Nothobranchius furzeri: one gene and its partners. The main gene of each other region encodes a partner of the protein of the gene in region 2 in a complex. Links are inferred from orthologs where the notes say so. Each region holds a gene or a part of one and is shown on either strand. Other genes may lie near its edges.

Evidence for each region. The genes of interacting proteins can lie anywhere in the genome.
Region 1: ncapg (region 2) and smc4 share a complex: the UniProt entries of both Homo sapiens proteins name them as parts of the condensin complex. The link is inferred for Nothobranchius furzeri from reciprocal best matches to the Homo sapiens genes NCAPG and SMC4.
Region 3: the proteins of ncapg (region 2) and ncaph are in contact, whole or in part, in a crystal structure (PDB 6IGX), measured with the Homo sapiens proteins. The link is inferred for Nothobranchius furzeri from reciprocal best matches to the Homo sapiens genes NCAPG and NCAPH. Residues at the interface, in NP_071741.2 of Homo sapiens: Lys11, Phe14, Arg15, Gln18, His50, Tyr51, Lys53, Tyr54, Val55, Met56, Val57, Glu62, Ala64, Val65, Val68, Phe102, Ser106, Glu108, Ala109, Asn110, Ser111, Val114, Arg115, Ile149, Arg150, Lys152, Asp153, Lys154, Arg159, Glu188; in NP_056156.2 of Homo sapiens: Glu471, Ile472, Asp473, Phe474, Glu475, Asp476, Asp477, Ile478, Phe480, Val482, Tyr483, Phe484, Arg485, Lys486, Thr487, Ala489, Ala490, Thr491, Ile492, Leu493, Gln501, Asn502, Trp503, Ala505, Thr506, Thr507, Leu508, Phe512, Tyr514, Val516.

The regions. Positions count from the first base shown.
Region 1 is NC_091753.1:52,603,087-52,607,284, reverse strand, and holds the start of smc4 (structural maintenance of chromosomes protein 4), read right to left. Parts: upstream 2,801-4,198; 5' UTR 2,661-2,800; intron 1,796-2,660; exon of another isoform or gene 1,600-1,795; 5' UTR 1,590-1,599; coding exon 1,445-1,589; intron 1,245-1,444; exon of another isoform or gene 1,218-1,244; intron 494-1,217; coding exon 303-493; intron 1-302. Other genes in the region: ift80 (intraflagellar transport protein 80 homolog), read left to right, coding at 3,746-3,785. UniProt on the Homo sapiens protein: Central component of the condensin complex, a complex required for conversion of interphase chromatin into mitotic-like condense chromosomes.
Region 2 is NC_091746.1:76,936,186-76,939,685, forward strand, and holds part of ncapg (condensin complex subunit 3), read right to left. Parts: intron 3,413-3,500; coding exon 3,323-3,412; intron 2,842-3,322; coding exon 2,653-2,841; intron 2,565-2,652; coding exon 2,454-2,564; intron 767-2,453; coding exon 647-766; intron 464-646; coding exon 230-463; intron 1-229. UniProt on the Homo sapiens protein: Regulatory subunit of the condensin complex, a complex required for conversion of interphase chromatin into mitotic-like condense chromosomes.
Region 3 is NC_091757.1:27,682,822-27,686,765, reverse strand, and holds the start of ncaph (condensin complex subunit 2), read right to left. Parts: upstream 2,801-3,944; 5' UTR 2,730-2,800; intron 2,651-2,729; exon of another isoform or gene 2,509-2,650; 5' UTR 2,377-2,508; intron 1,675-2,376; exon of another isoform or gene 1,514-1,674; intron 820-1,513; 5' UTR 815-819; coding exon 597-814; intron 1-596. UniProt on the Homo sapiens protein: Regulatory subunit of the condensin complex, a complex required for conversion of interphase chromatin into mitotic-like condense chromosomes.

The sequences.
Region 1 (4,198 bases), on a different chromosome or scaffold from region 2:
TTTTTTTTAATTAAATAGAATAGTGGGTGCAGTGATAAATCACTATAGGATGCCAGATTAAATCATAATGGAGAATTGTGATTTTTATCTAGATTTTATCAAGTTAAAACTTGCAAAAAAATGTTATCTTGTGTTGTGTATTCTACAACTGATGGTAAGATACCTGCAGAAGAATAATAAGAAATTAAAACAAATAAAATGAAATACTGTAACATCCGGTTAGGGTGCATCTAATATCAGCAGAACAGATTTAATAAGGTGTTTCTCAGCCAAATGTTTCATTTACATCCATTTGAGAATACCTTATGAAAAGGCCCAAGGATCTGCTCGCCTGCGTACGATTTAAAATTACGATTAACTAGATGCGTGATCATCAGGCGCTGGGCGCCCGGTTCATTGGTCATCGCAGGGGGCGGGGGTGGAGGGATGCTACCGAGAATCTCATCCAAACTCCGGGTATCAACCGCCTCGGCAGCCTCCTCCTGACACGGATCTGTGGCACACAAAAAAGTACAACTTTTAATCTCCTGAGCGAGTCGTTTCAGGTGGAGGCGGGGCCGTCTGTGGTGCATGGGGGAGGGGTAGAGGAGCGCGCACTCACTCACTCACACACACACACACACAAGCACGCGCGCACTCACACAAAAACAAACAAACAAAAACATAAGCAGCAAGTCGCAGTCAAACAACGAGCCCGGAGAAAAGTTGCCGGGCGTTATTTCCCTTTGTTGTGACGGACAGGAGCGAAGCAGAGCAGCACGTCAGAAGGATCCCGCACGATAACGCAAACGCTCTCCCGCACAAGCGCGGATGCGTCACTCCGTCGATGAGAAAAATCGCTAAAGTGGATTTTATTTTGGTGATAAACGACAGGTTTTCATTCGCTGCAGCCAAAACCCTGAGGGGAGAAGCATCTTGTTCGTGGTGATGAGCCCATAACGTCCACCCGATCGTGCTGCCATCGCACCAAGCTACAGCGACCTGTCCAATAATCTATTGTGCTCACAAGCATAAACACGCGAATCAAGTGATGTTTAGGAATCAAATTCCGACAGCAAACGAAGCCCAGTAAAGCTTTTCTACACATTCTGATTAACTTAATAGGGCCCGTGTGAATATTAAGATTATCATAAAATTCATAAACATCACGTTATACGCATTAAAACAATTAGTTTTGATTTACAACACGAAATACTCTTTTAATCGAAATGAATTACCTTGTTTTCCAAAGACATTCGTGGAAGGAGCACATTCGTTGTTAAAATAATCTTGAAAATGAATTTATTGATGAGTGGCACTTTAGGAAAAACCCCACTAAGAGCCATTCTAACTACGTGCTCGAATTTGTGGAAGGAAAAACGCTACAGCTGAGCCATTTGGCCTCTATCAACACAGCACAGCTTATTTAGATTCACAGACGCCAAAACAGCCTTTTGTTACTTGCCAGTTGTCGGCGGTGCCTCCTCTTGGCCATTTGAGTTGGTTTGTAGAGGGGGTACATCCAGCTCGTCCTCCGAGTCATCTCGAGGCTGCAACCCTCTCCTTGTCTTGGTGGAGGCAGTTGAGCTCTTTTGAGTTTTAGATGGCATGATTTGAAATCTGAAGGGGTCATTGGTGAAAAAAGAATATCCATGAGTGGTTTCTGTGCCTGTCAATCTCTAAACTCCGCGTATAGTCGCAGCTACTGAAGTCAGGTTTTATCTTTTTGCCACAAGCACATCTCACTGCCGCTCCTTCAGTTCCCACTCGGTACACATTTTAGCGTACGCTAAAATCAGCTAAAACAACAAATAAGTCTAACTGAGTTACGGTACGATCTCGCGATTAGAATGACGTGATTTAAGAAAATTAAGCTGAAAACTGCTCAGCTGATCTACTTCATAATTTTGATGCTTTTGTGATCATAAAACTAACTAAAATAACAAAACAAGCTAATTTCTTAGCTGAACTTTTTGTTTGTTTGTGACCATCTTAGTCATTTATAAGCGGCACGCTTCGTTTTGGTCGGAAAACGTGAAAATAAGATTAATATCTTGAAAACAAAATACAGTTAATATGCAAATGAGACGATTTCTCTATCCTTAGCGCTTTGTCTTGTCCCATGTTGCATAGCCACGCAGCAGAAGGGCTCTAGCCGAGGTCTCAATCTGACAGTAACATTAAGTTTCCATCCTGGGAGCTCTTCTGTTGGGGGCGGAGGTATAACTGAGCAACCTAAACTCACTGGATAAGCGCGTTCAAATGCATAAAATAACCACCGCATCAATTTAACCTTAAAAAACACGAAACAAACTAACACAAGCAACATAATAGATAACCCTGGCAATGTAGGTCGGGGAGCAACAGCATTAACTCAACCAAAGTCACGTTAACTTTGATCAAAAGGACAAAAACTAGCTTGAAAATAGAAACGGTCCACGTTACACTGCTATTAGATTTGGCAAACAATCTAGATCGAATGTAATATATAACAAATCTTATGAAGTCCTAATTCGCAGCTGATAGACAACACAAGTCTATTTGTATTATTTTTCGGGGTTTCTTCAGTTAAAATGCAGTTCCACATCGTCAGTGGTACTTTTAGTTTGAAACTAACGCTACGCGTTTCAGCAAATAGACGGCACCCAGTCGATCTTCCTCGCTAAGATATCTCCTGGTACCTTCCACAATATCGACGCGGTCCGTGAAAAGTCCTCCTTTCTTTCCCAGGTCGTTGCTCTAAAAAATTCCAGGAAATCCGAACTTCGGCGAATATAATCCATAAAATTCAGCCCTGTAACATTCCGAGTCGGTTTCCTGGTTGAAAATTCTAACTTGTAAATGGCGCCTAAACTGCGCCGTCAAACCAAATTCGTTACAAACTGACGCAAGGCACCATGGACCGTTCAAAGGGCAGGGAAAAAACTCGAAATTCAAAAAAGGGGACGAAGCCAACTCCGCCTCTCCACATCTACAGTATTCATAAAAAGAAAACGGAGAGAATAAAGAGTCGTTGTTCTGGAGTTTAAGATACACAATTTTAAATGACGTTTTGTTGCAAATAAAAACTTTAATCTTGTTCTTTATGTTTACAGTTACAGTAGAAGTGAGTTCCGCCTTTTAAGAATTCGTTTAGTTAAAAAAATGCCCATTACGTTTATTACAATACGTGCAACGTCTGATTTGATTAAAACGTGGCATGTATTAACCGTATATTTATGTGGATGGTATTAACGGGATCTTATTTAAATTTACAAGCATTTTCGAATTTGTTTTCTCGGGAAGATATTTGTAAATCTCGCGATAACTACCGTTTTAAACGTCCTCTCAAATGGCTACCAAAAAGTTAGCCTTACGTTATGACAAATTAGTGCCTGGTGCTGTTTATGGCTGATTTTTACGTTGCTGTTTAATTGAACCGTATTATACGACACGTATGCCTCGCAGGTTCGCTACGGATAAACTCGTTAACTGCAGTATGATGTCGGTGGCTCTCAAGAGGATCGTTAGCACACAAGTTACTGGCACGAGTCCTACCGAGGATTCACATTAGCAACGGTGCCAGCCACCTTAGCAACTGCAGAACACCCAGGGTTTTCCTCCATTAAAGGAACGTTTTACCGCATCAACGGGGTATGTTTATGATGCGTACGCTTAATGTTGTTTTTATGTGTTGTTTTGAATTATTTATTTCATGTATGCCGCATTTGAATAACATGTGTTGTCTGGCATTGTTTTTATTCGTTTAGGAGAGCAAATTCCTACAATGAGACTGAAAACATCGCTGCTAAAGGAACCCAAACATATCCTTTGTATGTTGATATTAGCTTTAGCTATGTCCGTTTTTTTAATCCAGCTCAAACTTGCATTAATTACATCACATATTGTCAGAATTCCTTACCTTTGTCAGCCCCAATGAACACATAACCCAATAAAATCGTTTTTTTTATTTTAAAAGTACCAGAACAAAGATGTTAAACATATTCCAGTTGCAAACACGAGTAATCAAGGAAAAACTGAAAAGTGTTCATTTACAATTTTTACCCTTTTTACATCAGTTACCCTCTTATTCATAAAGCAACATATTGTAAGAGAAGTTTTTTGTTTGCGAGGTAGCGCTTAAAATAGTTGCAAAGCTAGATTGTTAAATAAACAATATGATAGAAAGATGAACATTTATATGTTTCACACCAGGATATATTCTTGTTCTCGTCTCTGT
Region 2 (3,500 bases):
GCGGGCGTGTTGGCCCGGACCACCAGAGGATAATAGGCTGAAAAACCGCCTGGTAGGCCACCCAGGGATGAACTCAATATATGCAATGTGGATGTGAAGCCCCTAGTAGACAGTTCCAGATATCTCAATTTAACCTGAGGCTGGACTGAGACCCCACACCCCCTCCCCGTGTATCAAAATTCCTTTTTTTTTTTATACAGTTCAGAAACACAAACATGATCAGCCTCACCTCACTGTCCAGGAACTCTGAAAGCATCACCAGAATACTCTGGGCGGTATCTTCTGGGACATCTCCCTTGTCCTCAGCCGCTGCGTCGTCCTCCTGCCTCTCAGGTGATTGGTTGGGTTGGGCTGTCGGACTGGAAGCAGTTTCTGAGAGCAGCTGGAAGCCAAACAGCAGCAGCAGGTCGATGATGGACCGCAGAGCGCTGATGCGGATCTTTACCTCATCCAGCTGGGCAATCTGGACAAACAACCACAGAGTTTACCACCGACACTACAAGCCTCTAGCCACAACTACCGCATCACCCATGATGTACCGTGTGTTAACAGGTGAAACAAGTATAATAGCATAATCCAGGCCAATAACTTCTGTACACACACACGCGAGCATTAGTGTATGATATGGCTGGTTGTGTGAACCCACCTGCAGCAGAAGAACCATGTGAGTTTTGGCCAGCTCCTTACTGTGAAGAGTACATGTTCCCAAGCACACCACAGCCATGTTGCGGACGGCAGGATAAGGATTAGCTATGCTCGGCAGAATCTAACAAAAAGAGAGACACTTTAAGTTTAGTTTTGATTCAATTTAAACACGTTGTTGATTTGGTATTAATGTCTAAAGTCTGATCCAAATTAAAACACCAATGTAAATAAAGGATGAGAAACATTTGTCAACACAGACGTTGTTGAAGTTGAATTTTTAATGAAGTTTTCAAGCTAAAAACACTTTTCTAGCTGATGTTTTTCAGCTTTCTGCTGCTTCGTAGGTAAGGATGTTCCGATTCAACGTTTTCACTTCCGATACGATACCGATATTGCCGCCTTCAGCATTGACCGATACAGATATCAATCCGATACGATATCAGTACAATCATACATACTTTTACTTATTTTGTAGGGATGCAACGATACCACTTTTTTTCCTAACCGATACGATACAGATACTTGGATCTGAGTGCTCGTCGATACCGATACAGATACTTCTACCACACAAAAAAATGCAATGAATTGGAATACAGGTTTTATTTTCTTCTGTTTTCAATAGGAAAAGACTGTGAGGTAGATAAAAAGTAATATAAGTGATCACAAAACTAAAATATTAGGTGAACAGAAATGACAACTTACAGTGAAGTCACTTTCAAGCAACTGCATTGGTATCAGTTACTGGTATCTGTTAACTTTTACCGATGCCGATACCGGTATCAGTATCTGTATCGGCACCGATACCAATACCAGTATTGTATCGGTGCATCCCTGTTATTTTGTAGTGTGGAATGTATGAAAGGCTTGATCAAGTGATATTACTCAATCGGAGAACAAGAGCAGATAACAGTAAGTATGAAAAAAATTACAATATATATATTTTTTTTAACCATTGGTTGTAAAATGTGAACCTTAGCTTTTATCTGAGATTTTTGAAGCAGTCCAATATAATCTGATACAGTGTTTTTGGGCCGATATCAAATTACTTCCGTTATCGATATCGGAACGTGACATCCCTAGTTGTAGGCATCGATATCAGATCTTGTTCTGAGTTTAGAGGAGCCTGTGATGGTTAAAGCAGGGTTAGACTTTAGCATCAGTGAACATTTGCTGGAAAGGTCTGTTATCAAAGGAGAGGTCAAACCAATGCCCATCATCGATTTGAGGTCGTATTGGATGACTTCAGTGATTATTGCCATTTTCCTCTTTGCCTCCATCTGACCACTTTTATGTTTTTATTTTATGTCTGCAGTGATCGCTCTGCGGCTCAACACCTCACTGCTGCAACAACTTGGTGCTGCTCAAAAGCAACAAAACTATTTTTTGTGCCTCTACCTCACTCACCTTGATTTCAATCAGTGAAACCAAATTTCCTAGACCACTCTGTTGCCATGGCAGTGAAATGCCACCGATCATCCGGTTTATTTATATGCAGAGTATTAAGTGCTTTGCACTCGCCGTTTATGGCAGAAAGTTCGTGTGTTGAGGTAGGGGTGTGATTTTAAAGTGATTTATAGAGCAGAAACTGCGTGCAGCTGTGTGTAAGCAGTGTTTTATAGGTCGGAAAATGATTTTGCTATATGCATAGATACAGAATTTTTGTAAGGATTCTATACAGTCTTAATAATGAGGCCCCCGCTCATAACTCAGATGTGAACTTGTGGCCATTTTAAATGTGAGTTACTTCTTTTTCTCTAGACGTCCTACATAAAGCGTTAACAAAATTAGCAAAAATTCAACTTTTATACCAGCGAGGACATCAAGGCACTGATGGTTGGACCGATCGGAGTCTTGATGTTCATCTTCTTCAGCAACTCCGCACACATGGTCAGACACCTCAGAAGAGTCTCTGGGTCATTCTGGAAAAAACAATTAATGACAAGAATTCATTTAGCCGCTAGCAGCAAATTATATTACAAAGGCGGAGCTTCCCGTGTCGCTATGTACCTTCTCGGTTCGGACCTCCTTGATGACCGGCTGGTTGCTCTCAGAGATTTCCTGCAGGATTTGGTTCCTGCTGTCCTCAAGTTTGGTGATGGATTCTTTCAGTTCTGCTGCTTGACTGAAGTCCTGGGCAGCGATGCAGTTCTCTAAAGCTTCTTTAGCCTCCATGATGCGGACCTTCACCTCCGCTAACTGGATAGAAATCAAAAAAGGTGAAATAGAGACAAAAGAAGAGTTGGTCTTTTATTGGATAATGCTGGACCAGATTAAACGCTGAGACAGGAATCTGTGACTACAGCAGCCGAGACCCTGGAGACTCGCTTGTGGGTTTTGGACTCACATGGATTTAAACACCTGTGCAAAAGACCAACTTGTTTAGTAGTTACAGCCTCCCAAATCACTGCAGCTGTCTATGAAATCCAAAACTTATAATCTACAAGTTAAAAACCTCCTCTCAACTAGTTGGAATGTGCGCCATCTACAAATATAAAGCATTAGGCTGGAGGAAGAGCAAAATCACTGAAATTTTGTAGATAGAAGGAAATATAACTAATGGAGAGATTAGAAGGAGCAAAACGAAGTCTCAGCTAAAAATTAAGTAAAATAAATAAGATATTGTATCCAGATCTTTTTCTGGATGCTTGAGGAGATCACGTTGTCCAGCGTTACCCACCTGGACCTGCTGTCGGCGGCTCTTGTTCTCATCCACTGGCTGGCTGACCTCCGTGATGGGCTCCATCACATCTGAAATTATCTCTGCCACCTGTTGACAACATGTGCCTCTGTGAAAAACTGGGAGTTGTGTGTTTTCTGACATTTCTACCCTATTAGCAGAGTCCATGAAAATGGAA
Region 3 (3,944 bases), on a different chromosome or scaffold from region 2:
TATATACTGGTTAATATATTTTTGGGTTCAGTTGCTTTCATGTGGCCTAATGTGAGTCTATTTGGGATCATTGGAATGATCAGCAGCATTTCTTGATGTGACTTTATGGCAGTTGCCCAGGGCATCATCGCAAGGAGGATGGCATTCATTTACTTTTGTTTTATTTGGTATTTTTTCAGTCAGTTTTGGAAATAGTGATCAATTTTGATTAATTCACAGCCTATGTTTAATTACATTTAAAATAAATATTAACAGATGAGATCAAACAAAACAGATGAGAATTGCCCTTAAGCTGTTTAACTTGGACCAAGCATTTTAGGTCACAGATAGATGTAGCTTAGGGTCTCTGTCTATACACCTTATAAGACAATTTAGGTGATGGCATGTTGTTTTTCTGCTATTGAACTGTTTTCTAATAATGTTGTGTTAAATAAAGTGAAGGAAGGAGAGAAATAACGTTTCCCTAGCAGTTTTAAAAAATTTCCCCATGTGATCCGATTAATCGTGTCGAGACCCCATCCGATTAATCGATTATCCAAATAATCGTTTGTTGCAGCCCTAGATGAGTTCACTGCACCTCTAACATAACACCTCACCTGTGAGAAGCAGAGTCTGTAAAAGAGGATTCACCAGCAGTTTGAAGGTCAATGACCCTTGATCTCCTGCGCTGACGCCGCTCCTGCTCATCATCATTCCCAGGAAAGGCTGCCATCAGTGGGGTGCTGCAGGCTACAGGAGACTGACCCTTGTTCTTCAGATTGGACAGAGCCCGTCCGGGGTGAACCCGGGAGATGGGGGTGGAGGTTGCACTCATTTTGGCTGCACAAAAAGAAAAAAGTTTTTATAACTGTGTTTAGAGACATTTGGCTTCCAGGAGTTGTTTAAAACATTTAAGTTAGTTTACACTTTTGTTTAGCTTTCACCAGGAAGATTGGAAAGATAAATCAAACCTGTGACAGTGTTTGGACACAAGAACTATTAGACGGGAATATGAAACAACCCGATTCTGGTCCACCAGTGATTTTTCACATGTAGACACAGGTGTGCGAACAGATAAACCCTTTAACAAAGAGCTAGCCTTGGTGCTAAATGAAGCACTCCCCAGTAAACTTTTCACTTTAACATTAGATCTAGATTACCCAATGCAATTTTGTAAAAAAAAAATCGTTCCTCGTTGATGACTATACACGTTTTTACTTCAGTGTTAATAGGCACTATTAATCCTAAACAACAAAAATACGTTTATTGTATGCTAAACACTGCTAGCCTTATGCTAACATTCAACAGCCGTTAGCATAACAACGTTTGCTACAAGTCTCATTAACCCTCTCAGGCTCAAAATAAGTTTTGATAAAAGGACGAACAACTAAGTCCTTCAGGGGTACTTCTGAGTTAAAACATGCTCATGAAATAAGTTTGGGAAGTAACCAGGTAGGTAGGTTTTAACGTTGCAAATCTGCAACGCCTGCCTCCAGAGGGTTAAGATACGATAAAAGTTTACTAAAGTACCCACCCGGACCGCTGCACGAACCTTCAAACTATCCCAATTCAGACGAAGTCGTTATTAAAGTGCGATGCTGCTTTAAACTATTTTAGTTGTTCTTAACGCAACAAAGTGCACTCTTTCTTCCTGTAAAGTTTGAATTTTTGCGCCGGACGGTTTACGTAACACACCAGACGCCATTACGTGACGCCGCGCCCACCATAGACATGAATACGTAGACGCTCATTGGGCGCTGAAGACATATGGCTGGAGTGAGAAACAACGTCGCCGCCATATTGGATGGGTCTCTTCACTCCTTAAAGTTGCCCAGAGTGGGCAACTATGACCGTGTACTGTTAAAAAAAAAAGACCACTTGGGTTTACTAGTGACTTCTCTGGCCTATCTGATAGGATTTTATATTTTAATGTACGTTAATTTATTTTGTGAACTATGTAAGAATTGGACAGTAAAATCATCACAAAACAGTCCAATGTGTCTATCACAGGCAATGTTACAATGACAAGATGTCCTTTTGAGCTGGCTGGGGGAATGCCAGGTTTTTGTTTTCAAAAATTGCTGGGTCGTGACGGTATTTCTGTTAACAAACAGCGCCCCTCTCATCAGAGGCGGAGCTGGCCTAAATGGCGCCCTGTGCGAGATCCCCCGTGACGCCCCCCCCCCCCCCCTACACACACACACAAGAAAAAAAATTACACCTACAACTTTGTTTCAAATTGCGTGGAGTGTATTATATGTAACAACGTTTGCTAACTGAATACAACATCCAGCTCCTGGCCACCTTCTCACCACTTGTCAAAGTTCTACTGAAATAGTGATGATGACAACACCTGCCATCGCCTTCACTCCTGGGAAATATGAAAGTAGTTGGCACCTTGGTAGGTCCTCTTCGAACTAGCTCTGTGCGTATGCTGTCGGTAATTGGTGATGGCCACTTGGCTGGGTCTGAAGAAAGAGGCTCATCATCACCTTCAATGGGACCCATTGGTTGATCGTTCAGGCTTCTCTATTGACAGAAAACAGAAGCGTAACTCAACACATTGCTATGTGGACCATTTCACATATTCTATTAAAATACAATATGTGACATTCAAATTTCTCTAATGTTTGCAGGACACACACACACACACACACACACACACACACACACACACACACACACACACACACACACACACACACACACACACACACACACACACACACACACACTTGTGCAAAACTTACCTGACATATCTTGTTGGGGAGACGTGGCAGCTGGCTGTCCCTCATCAAGTTCACATGTACTGGTAGGTCTCTCTATTGACAGAAAATGGAAGCATAACTCACCACATTGCTATATGGAACAATTCCCATATTCTGTGAAAATACTATTTAAATGTTTATAGCTAAATGTTTGCTGGACACACACACACATGTGCAAAACCCACCTAAAGTATCTTCCTGGGGAGATGTGGTGCCAGCAGACTGTCCCTCCTCAAGTTCAAATACTGGCCTACTGGTACGAGCAGTGGAGGTAGATGGCTGTTCCTCAGTGGCAGCTGATGTCATCCCAAAATATTGTAATAAAAGTAGCCGTGGGCAGCACGGGCAGAACATCTTGCCCTCCGGTCAGAACCTGAACACACCACCAGTAGGCAACGGCTTATAAAAGACACACTTTATTGCACAATCAATAATAAAACACAACGATAAAACACCATGGCCCAAGCCCTCTCTTCTAAAACCAACTGTCCAGCATGAGTCACATAAGCAGCGGTACTTAGCTGTCATGGATGGTGTGACCCCCGTCCCCGGGGTCTGAGCTTCCAACGCCGTCCAACGCCCCGGGGTGTAGCTTGCGAGGACGGCGGGTAAATCCACAACATAAGTCCACTGCCAGAGTCCGTAGCGGCAGATGTCGGCGCGGCCTTGGCATCACCTATGCCCAGCCCTAACTGTCTAAAGAAGGCGACCAGCCTTCCCTCCTGGCGCTGGAACTCCAAACACCTGTTCAGCTATCTTCGTCACCGGCAGCCCTACCCGGCTGCGAACGACCCCACCCCCCAAAGTCCGATGCCACAATGACAGGTCGACCACGCACACCTCTCAGTAGGTCTGTCACCCTTTTATCCTCCCTGGCCTCGTTATCCATAACGAGGACCAGCTGGTGTCCAATCACCACACCCTCGGAGCTCGGCAGCTTCCGTCTTCTGTCCATCACACTCTCCCCCTCTTTGTCCTGAAGGACTCGCCCTCGAGTCCTAGATTTCCACCTGATAATCCTTATACCGAACAGGGGGTCTCCTCTGACGAACCACGCGTTGCTCCACAGCTCCAGGTCCCTCGACCTTCTCAGGGATACGTCCTCCCGATCCTCTTCCAACCGCACCCCCTCAAGCAGCCTCTCCATGCAATGGGGCAGGGTTGCTTGAATCACCGGAGCCCTTCGTCTCCGAAAAC